Linked DNA regions of Callithrix jacchus. The protein of the gene in region 1 purifies or fractionates together with the protein of each later gene. This does not show direct contact. Links are inferred from orthologs where the notes say so. Each region holds a gene or a part of one and is shown on either strand. Other genes may lie near its edges. The genes, in order: MAGEA10 and QSER1.

Evidence for each region.
Region 2: the proteins of MAGEA10 (region 1) and QSER1 purify together in Homo sapiens (affinity purification with mass spectrometry; 3 studies listed by BioGRID and IntAct, counting the BioPlex papers as one, with this or other methods). This does not show direct contact. The link is inferred for Callithrix jacchus from reciprocal best matches to the Homo sapiens genes MAGEA10 and QSER1.

What each region holds. Positions count from the first base shown.
Region 1 is NC_133524.1:148,402,175-148,410,884, reverse strand, and holds the end of MAGEA10 (melanoma-associated antigen 10), read left to right. Parts: intron 1-572; 5' UTR 573-603; intron 604-1,230; 5' UTR 1,231-1,329; intron 1,330-2,296; exon of another isoform or gene 2,297-2,370; 5' UTR 2,371-2,441; intron 2,442-2,526; 5' UTR 2,527-2,591; coding exon 2,592-3,680; 3' UTR 3,681-4,783; downstream 4,784-8,710. UniProt on the Homo sapiens protein: Not known, though may play a role in embryonal development and tumor transformation or aspects of tumor progression.
Region 2 is NC_133511.1:98,338,635-98,347,948, forward strand, and holds the end of QSER1 (glutamine and serine-rich protein 1), read left to right. Parts: intron 1-3,248; coding exon 3,249-3,401; intron 3,402-5,159; coding exon 5,160-5,456; 3' UTR 5,457-6,224; downstream 6,225-9,314. UniProt on the Homo sapiens protein: Plays an essential role in the protection and maintenance of transcriptional and developmental programs.

The DNA.
Region 1 (8,710 bases):
CCCCTGATGCCAGTCCTGGGAACTCCTGGGCATGGACCAGGAATACAAATTCTGACCTCCGCATCTGGGGCTGACAGAAGAAAGGAGATTGGTACTATGAATGCGCTTTTGGGGGAGCAGAGAGAGAGGGCCCAGGCCCTGCTGGGAGACAAGGGAGGCATGAGGGGATCCTAGGACAGGATGCCCACCCCACCCCTGTCTCAGAGTGAGACACTTCCTCACTCAACCTCCGGAATCCAAGGGACAGAGACTCAGGTCAATGGCGGTGGTTGGGGGGGTCGGGGGGGGAAGATGGAAGAGAGAGCAATCCTGCCAGGAGTCAAGAGAAGGAAGAAGAGAGAGGACTCATGGGAACTTGTAGTCCAGATCAATGGAGACCTCAGCTCTGGGCGGTTTCAAGCACGGTGGCCCATGTGATGTGTCTTTGCTGTGCCTTTGGCGTGTCAATGAGGAGAGGGCAATGGTCTGAGTAGTGGAGTCTCAGGTCAGCAGGGGGAGGAGTCCCAGAACCCTGAGGGAGGACTCAGCAGATCCCTGCATCTCAGAACTAAAAAACTTGTCCCTCTTTTCAGCTCTGGAACCCCAGGCAGGACTGTGAGGAAGGTAAGTAGCCCCCATTTTCTCACCAGGGATCCCAGGGAGATGGTGCCTTGGCGTGCAAGACCCATACACGATTCAGCAGGAGGGAAAGGGCTGGGCTCTGTCAGAGTGAAGCTGAATACTTGGAGGATACCCAAATAGAGGAAGTCCCTGCCCTGTCCCCCTCCCCCTCCCTGCTCCCGCCAAATCCGCTCCTTCTGTCAGCTTTGGGAATCCCATGCAAGTGTGATCATGTGGTGCCTCCTCCCCTATTTCTGCCTCCTCGGTCTCAGGGAGCTGGGGTCCTTGGCCGAAGGGTTGCTAAGAAGTTATCACATGGTTCCACACCTGGTCAACAGAGGGAGGAGTCCCAGAATCTGCAGCAATGTGTGCCCCCTTTGTGAGGACTGGAGGTATCTGCAGCCCAGAAAGAAGGAATGCCACAGAGTCTGACTGTCCCCTGTTCTAAGCTCTGGGGGGTGCTGATCAGGATTGGCACTAAGTGGCCAGCTCACTTTAACTACAGGCAGGAAGTTGAGGAATCCTCAGGGAAATGCAGTCTTGGTTGTAAAGGGGAGATATCAGCTGTGGACACCCCACAGGAGGGATGGGATGTGCCTCATTCTTACTGTTTTTTTTTTTAAATCTCAGGGAGGTGAGAACCTTGCTCTCAGAGTGTGACTCAGGTCAACACAGGGAGCCCCTCTGTGTGACAGACACAGTGGGTGGCAGGATGTGACAAGAGTCCAGGTAAGGAATCTGAGGGAAATTTGAGGGTGCCCCCAGGCTGTAACACAGATGGAGGCCCCACAAAAATCTGCCATGAACCTACTGTCACTCTGGAGAACCTAGTCAGGGCTGTCGGCTGAGGCCCTGTCTTATACAAGGACAGTTGGTCTCTGAGAGGGAGAGGTGTTGGTCTAAGGGGGCCACACTCAGGTCAGCAGAGGGAGGGTCCCAGACCCTGCCAGGAGTCAAGGTGAGGACTGAGGGAACCCCATTTTCCAAACACACAGGACCCAACAACACCCTGACCCTTCTGTCAGCCGTGGGAATTCACAGTGAACTGTGGGTAGTTGGACTCCCCTCACTTCCTCTTTCTATGTCTTCTGTAGATAGGGCCTTGGTTTAGGGAAGTGGCCTCAGGTCAACAAAGGGAGGGTCTGAGGCCCCATCAGGCATCCAGATGAGGACCAAGCAGGCTCCTCACCCAGGACGCATGGACTCAGCTGAATATGGTCACCTCTTGCTGTCCTTTCTGGGAGGACCTCCATAGTTGTGGCTCCACCAGATCTGGGTCCCCTCATGTCTTCTATTTTGTATCAGGGATGTGAGCTTTTGATCTGAGAATTTCTTAGGTCAGCAAAGGGGCAGGGTCCAGGCTCTTCCAGGAGAAAGGTAAGAGCCCTGTGTGAACATAGAGGGGGCTATCCACTCCAGAGTAGTGGGGAACTCACAGAGTCCAGCCCATCCTCCTGACAGCACTCAGAGGCTGGGGCTGTGCTTGCAGCCTGAACTCTGAGGGCTCCTCAGTTCCTTTTTCAGGAGATCCAGGGACTGTGAGGTGAGGCCTTGTTCTAAGACAGTGTTATCAGATCACAGAACAGAGAGGGCCCAGACAGTGCCAGGCTTCAAGGTGAGGTGCATGACCTGAATGTGCACCAAGGACCCCACCTGCTCCATAGCAAAGTGAACCCCACTGCACCAATTCCACCTACCAAACTGCCAGTCCTGGAGCTGTGGCCTCTGCTGGCTGCATCCTGAGGAGCTATCTCTCACTTCCTTCTTCAGGTTCTCAGGGAACAGGGAGACCAAGGGGTCAAGAGCTGTGGAATACCACAAAGCAGCACTGAAGGAGACCTGTAAGTTGGCCTTTGTTAGAACCTCCAGGGTGTGGTTCTCAGCTGTGGTTCTCAGTGGCCACATACATCCTCCCTCTCTCCCCAGGCCTTCGGGTTCCCATCACTCAACTCCTGCCCACACTCCCACCTGCTACACTGACCAGAGTCATCATGCCTCTGGCTCCAAAGCGTCGGCGTCTCATGCCTGAAGAAGACCTTCAATCCCAAAGTGAGACACAGGGCCTCGAGGGTGCACAGGCTCCCCGGGCTGTGGAGGAGGATGCTTCCTCATCCACTTCTACCTGCTCCTCCTCTTTTCCATCCTCTTTTCCCTCCTCCTCCTCTTCCTCCTCCTCCTCCTCCTGCTATCCTCTAATACCAAGCACCTCAGAGGAGGCTTCTGCTGATGATGAGACATCAGATCCTTCCCAGAGTGCTCAGATAGCCTGCTCCTCCCCCTCGATCATTGCGTCCCTTCCATTAGGCCAATCTGATAGCTTTAGCAACCAAGAGGAGGAGAATCCAAGCACCCTACAGGCCCTGCCAGACACTGAGTCTTTATCCAGAAGCGAGATAGATGAAAAGGTGATGAATTTGGTGGAGTTCCTGCTCTTCAAGTATCAAATGAAGGAGCCAATCACAAAGGCAGAAATACTGGAGAATGTCCTAAAAAATTATGAAGACCACTTTCCTGTGATGTTCAGTGAAGCCTCTGAGTGCATGCAGCTGGTCTTTGGCCTTGATATAAAGGAAGTAGACCCCACTGGCCAATCCTTTGTCTTTGTCATCTCCCTGGGCCTTACCTATGATGGGATGCTGAGTGATGTCCAGAGCATGCCAAAGAGTGGCATTCTCATATTTATCCTAAGCATAATCTTCATAGAGGGATACTGCACCCCTGAGAAGGTCATCTGGGAAGCACTGAATATGATGGGGCTGTATGATGGGATGCAACACTTCATTTATGGGGAGCCCAGGAAGCTGCTTACCCAAGATTGGGTGCAGGAAAACTACCTGGAGTACCGGCAGGTGCCCGGCAGTGATCCTGCACAGTATGAATTCCTTTGGGGTCCCAGGGCCCACAATGAACTTAGGAAGATGAGTCTCCTGAAATTTTTGGCCAAGGTAAATGGGAGTGATCCCAGATCCTTCCCACTGTGGTATGAGGAGGCTTTGAAAGATGAGGAAGAGAGAGCCCAGGCCATTGTTGCCACCACAGATGATACTACTGCCATAGCCAGCTTCTCCTATCCTGAATAAAGTCGGATAGACTCTTCACTGTGTGTTCAAAGGGAAGCCAAATACCGCATTATAGCACTCATATGTGGAGTGTTAAAAAATAAGTTGATGTTATGGAAGTAGAGAGTAGATCAGTAGTTACCAGAGACTGGGGAGAAGGAGAAGATAGGCTTGGAAATGATTAGCCAACATGGAAAATTACAACTAAATAGGAGGAATAAGTTTTAGTTTTCTATTGCACAGTAGGATGACTAGTAAACATTAATATATTATGTATTATAACACAGCTCGAAGGAGGGCTCTTCAATATTGTTACCACAAAGAAGTGATAAGTGCATGAGGTGATGATACACTACCTGATTTATTATACTACATATACATGAATCTAAATATCAAATTGTACTTCATAAATATCTATAATTACATGTCATTGTTTTTAATTTATGGAAACAAATGACAAGAGAAGTCAGTGATGTATGTAGTCCAGGGCCAGGTTGAGGCTGAGGAAAATACAGTGCCTAACATCTTTGTCTTACTGTTCTCTTTGGATAACTTGGGGACTTCTTTGCTTTTCTTCTTGGTATTTTATTCTTTTTTTTTTTCAGAGTCTCATTCTGTCACCCATGCAGGAGTGCAGTGGCGCAGTGTCGGCTGACTGCAGCTTCTGCCTCCTTGGTACAAGCGACTCACCTGCCTCAGCCTCTCGAGTAGCTGGGATTATAGGTGCATGCCACCAAACCCGGCTGATTTTTGTTTGTTTGTTTGTTTTTAGTAGAGACAGGGTTTCACCATGTTGGCCAGGCTGGTCTCAATCTCCTGACCTCAGGTAATCCACCCGCCTCAGTCTCCCAAAGTGCTGGGATTACAGGTGTGAGCCACTGCACCCAGACTCTTCTTGGTGTTTTAAAATGTTGTTACTTGTACTAGAATGTTTATGAGTTTCAGAATCTAAAGTCACACATGTATTTCTCTTTATCCAGTTTAAGAAACAGTGTTGCTCTTTTGTAAAACATATTAGGAAACCTTCCATCTTATTTGTAATCTGTAATAAAATAACATGGAATTGGAATAGCAATTTTCTTGGAAATATGAAAAAATATTAGTAAAATAGAGAAAATAATTTTAAGTGTTGGTATTTTTCTTTGTTATTTTTAGTTTATCATCCTGCAAAATTAGAAGTTTTATCCCTGGATCTTGTTGAGTCAAAATTAAACTGTAATAAATGAAACCTTTACTCACTTGTGCATTTCCTCCCCAAATATCCACTGAGCATCTGGTCTATGGAAAGCTATGGGTCTGTAGTGGAAATGCTAAATTAAGCCAGAACCACCTTTACCCATAGGGCAGTAGAATCTAGGGGCTGCAGTCAAGTAATAAGGTGGCGAGATGTGCTCTATGACCTAGAGGAAAGAAAGACAGGGATGAGGGTATTGGGCTGTAGGTAAGAGTAGTCAAGTGTACATCCCCTGAACCAGGACTTTTGGGGCTTTGAGAAACTGCTGTTCCTTCTGGTGAAAATGAATCCAAAGAAGCTGTGTGGTGCCAGACTCAGAGTCTCACATAGTTGAGAGAAAGTCCTGGGATGCAAAACTGCTCTGAGCAGTTCCTTTTGGGTGAACAGAAAGGAGTCTCCACCTGGGGCAGGAATGGAAAGTGTTCTGCACTCTTGTCTCAGTGCAGTTGAACACTGCATAATAACTAGATAATAGATGTCCATATCATATGCAGAGTCTCCTGAGAGATAAGGGTCTCATAATCAATAAGCCTATGAATTGATGCCTAGAAGTGAGCTGACTCCATTAGAGAAACATTTTAATTGGGTTACTTTTAGTGTAATTTGAACAACACTAAGCAAGAGCTAGATTTTGCGTGGTGATGATATGAATGAAAATCATGATTTGGATGGAAAAGAAGCTTGGAGAGCAGGAAGGAGTTGATCCTTGACTCAAATTCCATGAGCTTTGAGCAGCATTCAGCAGGGAGAAACTCCTGCACATGAAAATTTGAAAATATACCCTCTAAGAGGGAAAATCTGCTGAATTTTATATATGAAGCAACATTTGTGACTGATTTGGGGTTCTGTGTCCCATTGAGCTGAATATTCTGAGATATACTGGATAACAATGATAACAAAAATTCCAGAGTAGACTGTGGTAGAATCTGGGGTCAAATGATATCAGAAATAACAGCCCTCTGCCATTCATTAAACTTCTAAATACCCCAGGCCCTGAGCCAGGTGCTTCATTTATTTGCACACACTCCAGTAGTGCCATTGAGCAAGGCTTATCACACTTGCTTCATAGATAAAGAACCCAAGGCTCACAGGGCTTGGGCATTTTCCAGAATCACGTGATTAGTAAGTAACAGGGCTGGAACAAGACTCCTGGTCTGAATTCCTGTAGAGCCCATGCTGTTCCCATGCCTCTCAGCCTGAGGCCGACCTCCTGAGTAGTACTTCGTTTCTATTCTCAGCACTGTACCATGTTTCTCAGGTGACAAAAATAAGGACTCTGAGGCCAACGTAGCAGTAACAGGCCTAGATAAGGTGACAATGAGAATCAAACACCATTTCAGGGTGGCCTGTGGACCTTATTAACCCAGGGAACTCCTGTGTCAATCCCCAGGTTCCTTGAGAGCTGACTCCACCCAGGAGGTGGCATTTCTTTTCAGAACCAGCCCTTTCCCACATCACAGCATCCTTCCCCTGGTTGTCCCCGGTGTTCTCTCCTATCCAAATCTGGAACCTGGTCTGCTGCCTAGCTTGTCACTTTGGTTTCTGCTGGAGGATGTGCCCAGAACACAGTGGAGAAGCCCAGAATCACCTGCTTACCCTGTGATACAGAGCATGCCTACACCCTACAGAAGTACTCTGACTGTTCTGTACCATTCTTGGAAATCCCTCTTATAGCACTTGTCTAACTATCATTGTCCAAAGTCAAATTTATGGTGAAATTTATGTTGAAAGGGATGTTCAACTTGTCCTCTGCTTTCAAATGATTTGGTTAGGAGCCGGGAAGGAGAGTAGACAAAACACCCTCTGCTCACAAGGTACATTGGGAGGATGCAGGGAAGAGCAATTACTAGAGTCCATGAGCAAGACCACATGTCAAACCAAGTCCACAGAGCCCCAGGCAGGCTGGCACTCAGAACTCTGAATCCAGATTTCAGCCCGATGGGAGCAGAGACCTGAGGGAGAGAAGTGGGAAGTGGTGAAGGAGGACGGGACAACAAACAGAGGTACGCTTGGGAAATCTGGACATCATCATCACCAACAGGATGTGGCTATGTGATCTGAATGGGCAGGCCTGTTAGCTGAATGCATCAGCTGCTTGCAAGACACCTTATGCTCATTCAACATTCCCCTCCTTCTGTCAGGAAGAGTATGGCTGGCTCCCTGCATCATTCTGGGTGAGCTATCTCTCTTGACCACTCCAGTGATCCTGCGCACCCTTGCCAGCATCCCAAGGCTGGGAGCTGTCTTTGTGCCTACTGTGGGGCTGGCGTTTTATCCCCTGGGAACCCTTCATAGAGGTTGGGCTATGTGAGTGGGTTGCTGACTGATGACCAACAGCTGAGACTTGCCAGGAATGCCAATGATCATTGGAAGGTGGTGGTAGTATGGCTGCATGGAGGGGAAATTGGAGGAATAGTGCCCCAGGACGAATCAGCTTAGACTCTACGGATGAAGGGCTTCTGTGGACATGCCTTGAAAATGATCCAGCTGGTGTCCCTGACTCAGATGGCCTCCTGTGGCTTCTGAGCTCTTGGCACACAAGGGGACAGGTGACTTGGGGCTGTAATCACTGGCCTGTGTTGCCACCAGAGACTGTCTGGGGTAGAGGGCTGGCCTAAGGTGTGGACATGGGTAAGTTGGATGGAAACCCTGTGGAGATGGTACCTTTCATTGTTAGCTAACAGAATATGTGGGGTCCAATGCAAGAAGCATCACACACCATTCTGTTGGGAGCATCTTTACTTCCGAGACAGTGTTTGGGCCTGAGGAAAAGGCATCTGCAGTTACCCTGTCAGTGGTATTTTCCACAAGAATTCTGAACTGATGCAAGCAAAGGTAAGGGAACTGTGGGTTTCTTCATGGAGGCAGGAGGCTCAGGCAGGGGAAGGTTCCACGCTTTGAGTCAGCAAATTACCATGCCTGGTAATTCATCCATTCATTCAGCAACATTTTGTTGAATACATGTTGAGGAAACATCAGGTAACAAAACAAAGTGGCAAGACCCTTAATCCAGTCTGTGGAGGATAGGGGAGATGATGAGGTGGTACGAGTCACTCATCTGAGCCAGGGAGGCCAGGAAGGCAGAGCCAGACTTGGGAGCAGGCCATGCACAAGAAAGGGAGGAACAGCCTATGACTAGACCATCAAGCTGGCCTTCTATGACACTATCAATCTGGTTTTCTTCTTTGATGCTGCTTGTGGGTAAAAGCAACTGCCACTTTCTGTGCCTAACTGCTTTTGTTAATAGGGAACATGCTCATGGTTGGCAGATGCTCACTTCTGCTCACCTCGAGTCACTTCTACTAAAGGAATGGTTTCACTGTAAAAGCACAGGAAGAAACTTTTGGGAATGATTAATATATTTTGCACATTCACTGTGGTTGTGGTTTCATGGGACTATATATGTGTCAAAACTCTTTGAATTGTTTCTTAGTATTTCAGAGAAAAAGTAAGCAGGAAATCAGGAAGAATATAGAGGACATGATTAAAATAAAAAAAAAAAAAAAAACCACCACATCCAGCAATAGCAGAATAAACATTCCTCTGGAGTGTGCATGAAATATTTACCAAGATAGATGGCATTCTGGGCCATAAAACAAACCTTACAAATTGAAAACATTAGAAATAATAAAAAGCAACTTCTCGAAGATGCTTCTTGAAGACCATAATGTAATTAAGGTCAGAATCAAACACAAAGATAAGTGAAAAAATGCTCATATATTCGAAATTTTAAAATGTGATCCTAAATAACCTATGGATCAAAGATGGAGTCTTAGGAGAATTTTATAATATACATTAAGTTGAATGAAAGTAAAAA
Region 2 (9,314 bases), on another chromosome or scaffold:
CTGCAGTGCAGTGGCACGACCCTGGCTCGCTGCATCCTTTGCCTCCCGAGTTCAAGCGATTCTCCGCCTCAGCCTCCTGAGTAGCTGGGACTACTGGTGCCGCCACCATGCCTGGCTAATTTTTGTATTTTTAGTAGAGACGGGATTTCACCAATCTGGCCAGTCTGGTCTCGAACTCCTGACCTCAGATGATCCATCCACCTCAGCCTCCCAAAGTGTTGGGATTACAGGCGTGAGCCACCGTGCCCAGCCGAGCTTTTTTTTTCAGTTGGAGAAAAGGCATGCACATTTATTAACATTCACATGGGAGAGAATCACAGAGTGATTACTCCCTAGCTTTATTCAAAGTAGAATATCACGTTGAGAACCATTTGGTTATATCTACCTTGGGGGACATTTTTTAATTAATGGTAAAAATATTATACATTTGTTTAACTTTTTCACATCCCAATTTTATGTGAACTGAATGTAAAAGTAAATATTGACTTCAATTAGGTGAAAATGAAGGTCATTATATTGAGTTCAAAATTAAATGACACTAAACTATCGTACTAGTCATCTATTCTTCACTGCCATGTACTTGCAGAAGGATAAAAAAAATTAGAAGCTAGTAAGAAATCCGGTACTAAGAATTTGGTCTCCTGACTTTTAGCCCAGTTTTTGTTTTTGAGATGGAGTCTTGTTCTGTCCCCAAGGCTGAAGTGCAGTGTCGCAATCTCGGCTTACTGCAGTCTACATCTCCTAACTTCAAGAGTTTCTCCTGCCTCAGCCTCCCAAGTAGCTGGGACCACAAGCGTGCACCACCCATATCCGGCTAATTTTTGCATATTCAGTAGAGACGGGGTTTCACCATGTTGGTCAGGCTGGTCTCGAACTCCTGACTTCAAGTGATCCACCTGCTGCAGCCTTCCAAAATGCAGGGATTTACAGGCATGAGCCACGGCACCTGGCCCTAGTTCAGTGTTTTCTACTTAACTGCTGCCTTCAAATAAATGAAATACCATATTTTGTGGAGACAAAGGAACACTTTTAGATAGGTATTTCCTAAAGATTTACTAAATCTTAAAAATTACTAGGTTTGGCTAGTCACTATAGAAATGTCAAACCAGTTCTCTAACAAGATTTCTAATTCTGTTATTAGTTATTCTGATAATTGTCACATAAAGCAATTTGCATTTCTTTCTTTTTTTTTTTTTTGAGACAAGAGTCTCACTCTGTCTCCCAGGCTGGAGTGCTGTGGCACAATCTCTGCCCACTGAAACCCCTGCCTCTCCTGCCTCAGTCTCCGGAATGGCTGGGATTACAGGTGCCCGCCACCACACCTGGCTAATTTTTGTAATTTAATAGAGACGGGGTTTCACCATGTTGGCCAGGCTGGTATTGGACTCCTGACTTCAAGTGATCTGCCTGCCTCTGCCTCCCAAAGTGCTGGGATTACAGGTGTGAACCACCATGCGCAGCCTTAGCAATTTGCATTTCAAAGTCAGATTATATAATATTAAAAGAATGATTTGAAGTAAAACATGACAAATACTAGATTAAGAAAGATTTTCTGTTCTTTATAAATAGTGTGCTTTATCTTGGTGATGTTAGGAGTCCTGAAGCCTTTTCAAGGTAATGATGTGTTCTGCCTTTTTCTGAAATTGGTGTACTTCAGATCATCTTAGGCATCTGTGGTCATTGGAAAGATTTTGATTTTCTTATTTCATCTCCACTGACTTAACGTGTGTTGTTTCCAAATTTAGAACCTTTAGTCTTCTATTTGTTGCAAATAGTAATTCTGGATCCAAAAACGTCAAGTCTGTGCATGTTTTAAATGGAAAACACCAGAGTATATGATAAGGGCACAAATAATCTGAGAAAGGAATGAAGCTAGAATGTCATGGTAGCTCCCTCTGGTAGAAAACGCCAAAAGTGTTATTGTTTCTATCAAATAAAATTTAGTTCCCTCCTACACTTATACTAAGAAGAATTTTGGTTGCCTGTTTTTAAAAAGGTACCATTTTCAGGGCCCCCATACCAGGTACTCGGAAACAATAGATGAGTTTGGAGAAGAGTGGCTTTAAAGGTTGTGACTGTTTATAAAACAGTTGAGCTTATCGAATGAGGACTGTAATCTGAATCGTAAATATAATAGGAGGACTTCAACATTTTTAGTGTCAAAATAATAAATGATTAGGAGCTCAATGTAATTTTTATAAAGTCATAATCAAACTAGTTAAATGTAGCTTTAGGAAGTAAAGTACCATTCAGTTATTGTTTGTAGCTTTTCAGTCAGGCAGGATGATTTGCCAAGTAGGTTAGGCCATAGATATGCCCATGGCTTTTATTTATTTATTTATTTTTTGAGACAGAGTCTTACTCTGTCACCCAGGCTGGAGTGCAGTGGTGTGATATTGGCTCAGTGCAACCTCTGCCTCCTGGGTTCAAGCGATTCTCTTACCTCAGCCTCCTGAATAGTTGGGATTACAGGTATGTACCACCACACCCAACTAATTTTTGTATTTTTAATAGAGATGAGGTTTTGCCATGTTGGCCAGGCTGGTCTTGAACTCCTGGCCTCAAGCAGTTTACCCTTGGCCTTCCAGAGTGCTGGGATTAAAGATACGAGCCACTATGTCTGGCCACCAATGACTTTTAAAGGATGGAGTGGAATTGGTTTTGCCACAGGACCACTGTCAAAAACCCATCATGCTCTGTTTTAGGATCTTATCTTACAAGTACTTGTCAGGCAGTCAAAATAAGCAAGAGAAGTTGTGAAGCCAGAGAAGCACTACAGTGCCACTTCTCTTCTGTCCTCATTTTCACCAGAGGCAGATGATTTCTTTATAGCAAGGCCCAGCCACATTTCAGAGGGCTTTGGTGAAACATACATGTTTCTCTTTGTCCTTCCTTGAAGCCAGAGACACATTACTAGAAAGAACTCTCTGCCCTGTTCAGGGTTCCTAGTGTGGTGTGGTGTTGCTTAAATAAGCAGGTCATAGAGTTGGCTCACTTTCAAGGGATGGGGAAATATATTCCATATCCAATAGGAAGAGCTGCAAAGAACTTGTGACCATGTTTAACTCCCCTGTGTATATATATATATGTGTATGTGTATATAAATATTTACCACATCCCATCAGTACACACACACCCCTCTGCAAACAGGTGTTTGTCCACACACACACATCTAAATTTTAGATAGCTGGAAGTAGTTTAGGTTAGTTTTCTTTTGGTGTCGGTTATTTTGCTTCATTGTTTTACAGAATGCTTTGGAAAGTTTTCCTGAACTAACAATAATTACTCGAGATTCTAAAGCAAAGAGTGGAGGAACTTCTATTTCTAAAATCAAAATGAATGGCAAAGCTTATAACAAGAAAACTCTAAGGACTTCTAAAACAACCATTAAATCTTCACAAGTAAGTGTAATTATTAATGTAACTATACCTTTTCTAATTGTTAATACAATTTGCAATGTAAAACATTGAAACAAGCAAATATTTTATTATGTTGTCATTAAGCGTGAAGGTTTTTCAGGTAAGAATAAGCAGCTCTGGCCTGAGGAACAGGGATGCAGTGTTACTTATTTTTTTTCTGTAGCATAGCATCAGGCATATAATATGTGCTCACAAATTTATTAAATTAACTAATATGGAAGAAATCATCTCATGCTTGTGTTTATATATTTGTAGGTATTTTTATTTTTTTAACCCATCGGATCTCATGTAGTTTTTTTTATTTTTTAAATTGTGTATATTTATTATGTACAAAATGTTTTGAAATATGTATACATTGTGAAATGGCTAATTCAAACCCATTAACATATCTAATACCTGCAATACAAGTATATTTGTAATTGGATATGCAGGCACATAGATAAGTGTGTACAACACATTTCGTAAAAAGATGAAATGTTTATTTCATATCTGCAAAGTCATTAAAATTGGAATTTGCTCATTTTCAAACATAGTATAAATTGTTATAACCTTTTCAGAAAACAGTTTGTCAGCATACCAGCTTCACAGCAAAAATGTATTCAGGGCTGAGCACAGTGGCTTTCAGCACTTTGAGAAGCTGAGACTGGAGGATCACTTGAGCCCAGGTGTTCAAAACCAGCCTTGGCGACAAAGCAAGGCCCCGTGTCTACCCTGAGGGGAGAAAAAAAAATTAGCCAGACATGCTGCCGTGTACCTGTAGTCCTAGCTACTTGTGAAGCTGAGTGGGAGGATCACTTGAGCCCAGGAAATGGAGACTGCAGTGAGCCGTGATTGCACCCCTGCACTTCAGCCTGGGTGACAGAATGAGATACTGTCACAAAAAAAAAAAAAATTGTGCCCCTGCAGTCCAATCCAGATGACAGAATGAGACACTGTCTAAAAATATATGTATATATATATTCCATAGAAACAGATTCACAAATGCATAAAAATACATGTCTTTGCTCATTGTTGAATTGTTTATAAGAGCAATCCAATTATTGCTGTTTGTTAAATAGCCACCAGCGTGGTGTTGGTTAAATAAAGAGCCACCTAATGTCATACTATGTGCTTTTTATAAAGAGATAGATTTGTTCATTCTTTGAAAAAAAAATTCGAGTGCCAACAGTATGCCAAATACTGCTGTACTACAGATACAACAGTGGAAACTGGTTAAAAGTCCCTACCCTCATATAGTTTATATTTGGGGAGGATGGGGAGGGACAGCTATATGTACTAAATGAAAAAATAGCCTATTCTTAGGTCAAAAACAAGTTGGAAGAAAGAAGAAAAGTTGCTGGACAATATGTATAGTATGATTCCCTTCTCATTACAAAAGTAGTGTCATTAACGTACATGTTAGACCTAGGTGGCAAACATTAAAAAATATATAACATGCCATTAACCTTGTTTAGCTCTGAAGCAGATTATAAGGAGCTTTTATTTTATAAATCATCTCATATGTTTATTGTTTAAATTTTCCTGTGATGCTTAAGTTTCAATAATACATATTTATATTCAGGATAAATAATATTTTAAAATATAATCTAAGTTCTTATTTTGAGTCTCTCCATATTAATACAAGTTAATACCTACGCATATTAGTCATTTTTAACATTGCCATTGAGACTTTATTTTCCTCAAAGTGTTCTTACTCAGATACTCCATGAAATCTATCTATAAACTTTTTTCTTTTTATAGGAGTTTGCTGTTGATCCAGAGAAAATACAGTTGTATTCTTTATATCATTCACTCCATCATTATAAATATCATGTTTATCTGATATGTAAGGATGAGGTAATTTCTTCTCATTTATTTAAAAAAGAAATGTATGTTTTTCAGAATATTAAGGAGATTCTAGCTATAGTATTTTTGAATGTTTTAAAGAGAATTGTGAAATACATGTGTGTATATATTTTGCCTATGTATTCTGTAAATAATGACTCGATGATTTGTCATTCTGAGTCTCTGCTATGTTTTGTGCTCAGATTTATGTGAGCCTCACCACCTCTTGTAGGAACTATAGTTGGTAATGTTTTGAAGCTGCTGGTGCTTGCTTTACATCGCCATAATAAATGATGTGTTATTGCATTTTGTTCTCTCACAGTGTATAATGATGTTGCTTTAATTCACTTCAGTCACTGCTTTGATATCTCACTGCCTTATTTATTATTTAGAATGGCCTTATCCCACTTAGTTGCAGGGAAATGGGGTTTTCTGCCTTGGCATGAAAAACTAAAAGTTAAAATTTAATTGTAGCTTTTACATTGTTCAGAGATTATACATGACAATATTATCACCGCATGGATGGGATATAAGCATTAATTTCCACAGACAGGTTAAAGGTTGTAGACAATACTACCTTATTTGACCAGCACTGTCACTTCTTTTAATTAAAAAGGGTTAAGTTGGCCCAAGGCTTTATCTAATGTGTTTGACAGTATTCTGGTATGGAAAGATGCTCATAAATCTAACGTTTGTATAGCAAAGGAGAGAGCAAAGATGGTGATGCAAAATAGGGTGACTGTTTTTGCAATGCTCTAAAATGTAGAATCGGCTCTAAAATTTGTCATTTGGCTTCTAACATAATTGGAAGAAATAGAGAAAGTTTGAAGTACTTTTTCTAGCCTTCCTTTCTGCCCCCTTGGAGCCAAAGATGAAAGTATTAGATCTCACCCAAATTTATGTGAAATCATCATTCTCCATGGATGGGATTAAGAAAAAATAAAATATCAGTACTTGCAGGTGAACTTAAGTATGAAGTGATAAGTACAAGCTAATGTGGCAATTTTCTTTGTTTTAGATTTCTTCGGTGCAGAAAAAAAATGAAGATTTAGGACAGGAGGAAATTGTTCAGCTTTGTATGAAAAATGTAAAATGGGTAGAGGACCTCTTTGAAAAATTTGGAGAACTTCTAAATCATGTACAGCAGAAGTGTTCCTAACTTTTCCACAAAAGTCCCATCTTTTTTATAGCACTAATGAAATCGCAGATGTGGGGTGGTCAAAGATAATCAGCTGTCAAGTAGTGGTCTTCTGCAGGCTGGCCACTTCCATCATGGAACTGTCATCACCACCTCTGCTGAAGGACAGTGGTGCTGCCTTTAGGAAGGAAGTCAGTCCTCTGGAAATGGACTTAAGTCCCACCACATTTTTACCTAATGAATGATTTTTCTATTTTGTAAACCATTGGGTAACTTGAGTTTTATTTTAAGAAACATTTTTTGACAAATGATGAAGCATGCACTAAGTATAATTTTTCTTTATTGCTAGAGAAATAACACTTAAAGTAACGAGTATTAGTTTTTTTTTTCTGACTCTGGCTAAATACCAGAATGACAGAGAAGTGGCAAAAAGCGTATGTCTCCACTCACATCTGGCCACAAAACCAGAAATACTGTACATTATGTAAACAGGTCTGCTGTGATGCGACATCCTGTATAAGAATATCATCAATTTAAAATATAAAATTTGGAAACTATTCTGCTTTACAGACTTCTTTTACTCTTAACATGTTCAGGAAACTGGATGTGGAATTGGTGCAATTCTCTGACTGCTTTTTGTGTCAAATTATATTGTGATAAAAAAAACAATGACATACTATTTTCCCTATTGCAAAGAAAAGTATTTTCATTTATACTCTGTTTTTTCCTTTGGAAATTTTCAATTGTACATTTTATTTCACTAATAGTTGTATTTTTCACAAGGAAAATGCTGTGGTTATAATTATGTTGGATATATCTCTACAACACCTTTTTTTACTTTCAGTAAATCTTTAGTTATATGTTGAATTTCTATTGTGAATTCTATCTTGAGGTAACCATTTTTGTTCATACAGATTTGCTTCAGTGTTATCCAGAATATGCATTCAGTGCTAGATTAGTTTAGCTTTATAAACAGTGCTGTGTTTAACATTGCAGTAATTTTCTAATTCATAAAATAAACTTCTTATTAACTAGCACTTGATTAACTGCTGAGGTAAAAATCTAACTACATTTACATTTTGAAGAATAAAACTGATAATTCGACTATTTGCAGTGTTAAACACAGCGTTCTTAACTCTTAGAACTGGAAGTTGTAGAGCTCTCCTTTTGGTGCCTTTCCAACCTTTATACACACTATTGTAGCTTTCTTAGGTTTGATAGGTAGCATTTCAAGTAGTTTAGCTGAGACAGTGAATGTATTAGGTTCAACATGACCTTGTGTTTTATTTGCGTTTGCCAACAGGATGCCTTATTTGTTTGAGAAAAAGATTTACTAGTGTCATTCTAAACTATCTCCTTTTTTAGGATTCTAAAGAATTTAATCATCATCCTTTTGTTTATTTTACCACCATTTAGTGCCTTAAATCCTATCAAGAAAGCAGTGTTACTGCTCAATGCCCAAATAAGACACATGGCTATTGCTATTGTCTTGATTTTGAATTAACAGGCCAACTTTTTATACTTAAAACCTCAGTAAACTGGCAAAGAATTGAAAATAATGTGACTTGATTTGAGAATAAACATTGTAGTGTTGGGTGAAAAATGAGGATTTGAGTTAAGCTTACATATTTATTTCTGATGGTTATCTTATTAAAAGCAATAATCCTTAATACTGTACTTGCCATTAGACTAGGTACTCAGTAATGGAAGTTTCTCTCAAGGGTTAAATGTTCTATTTTTGAAAGTTTTTAAAAACCTGTTTGGGTGGTTTATTTTGAAAACAAAAGTAACCTATTAGATTCATTTTGCCTAACACATATGAGAGACGCAGAGTGTCAACAGTGGGAGCATCATAAAATGAATTTTCCAAGTGAAGAAGAGTAGGAAGCAGCTGTATTTCTTTCTGATAGTAGTGACTCTGGATAGAATTGATGTCTTTCATTTCCAAAGTGCAGAGTAGGGAACTACATCTCCCAATGTAGCATTGTAAATATATATCTTTATATTACTCTTCCAGCTTACGTTCCTGAGTCATTGATAATTTAAGTATTTTTAAAAGCCACCTTACATTTAGGTAGCTCTTGGAGTGAATGTTTGAATTCACTAGCCACATTTTCTTCATGATATGCCTCTCGGCAAACAAAGATATCTCTTTAAGGTTAATCTTACATTTCCCATAGAAAATAACCTATTTCCTTTTGCACTGCGGTTGCCCTCAAACTGCTTACAGTTGTATTCACTTTAGTACAACAAAGGTTTTTATAATATGGGAGGCCAAGTCTATGGTACTGCCTCAAAGAGACCCTATTGTTTAGCTGCATCATGTTCTCTCATTTGATCCATAGAGCATAGGGAAAGACATCAACCTCAGGCCTTAGAGATAAATGGAAATGTTATTATGACAACCATTCATGAGTTATCACTTTGTATGAATTTAACACAGTCATGCGTTGCTTAACAACAGGGATACATTCTGAGAAATGCATTGTTAGGCAATTCTGTTGTGCAAACATGATAATGTACAAACCTAGATGGTATAGCCTACAACATACCCAGGCTATATAGTAAACCTGTACAGCATGTTACTGTGCTGAATACTGTAGGCAGTTGTAACACAATGGTATTTGTGTATTTAGACATAGAAAAGGGACAGTAAGAATATGGTATTATAATCATATGGGACCACTGTCAAATATGTGGTCTTTGACTAAAAAGTTGTTCTGCAACGCATGACTATAAATACCTAGCTGGTTAGCATTTACATTCCTTGCCAGGGAGTTTGAAATTTATAATAGAGAAATAACTTTAGGTTTTAGGTAGAGTTGAAGAGGTAAAGCACATGTTGCCACAAGCCAGGAAAGTATTTTTAAGAAAGATTGGATTTTCCTACCTTTAGAGATCTAAAAATAATTTAATATAAAAAATCAGTTTGT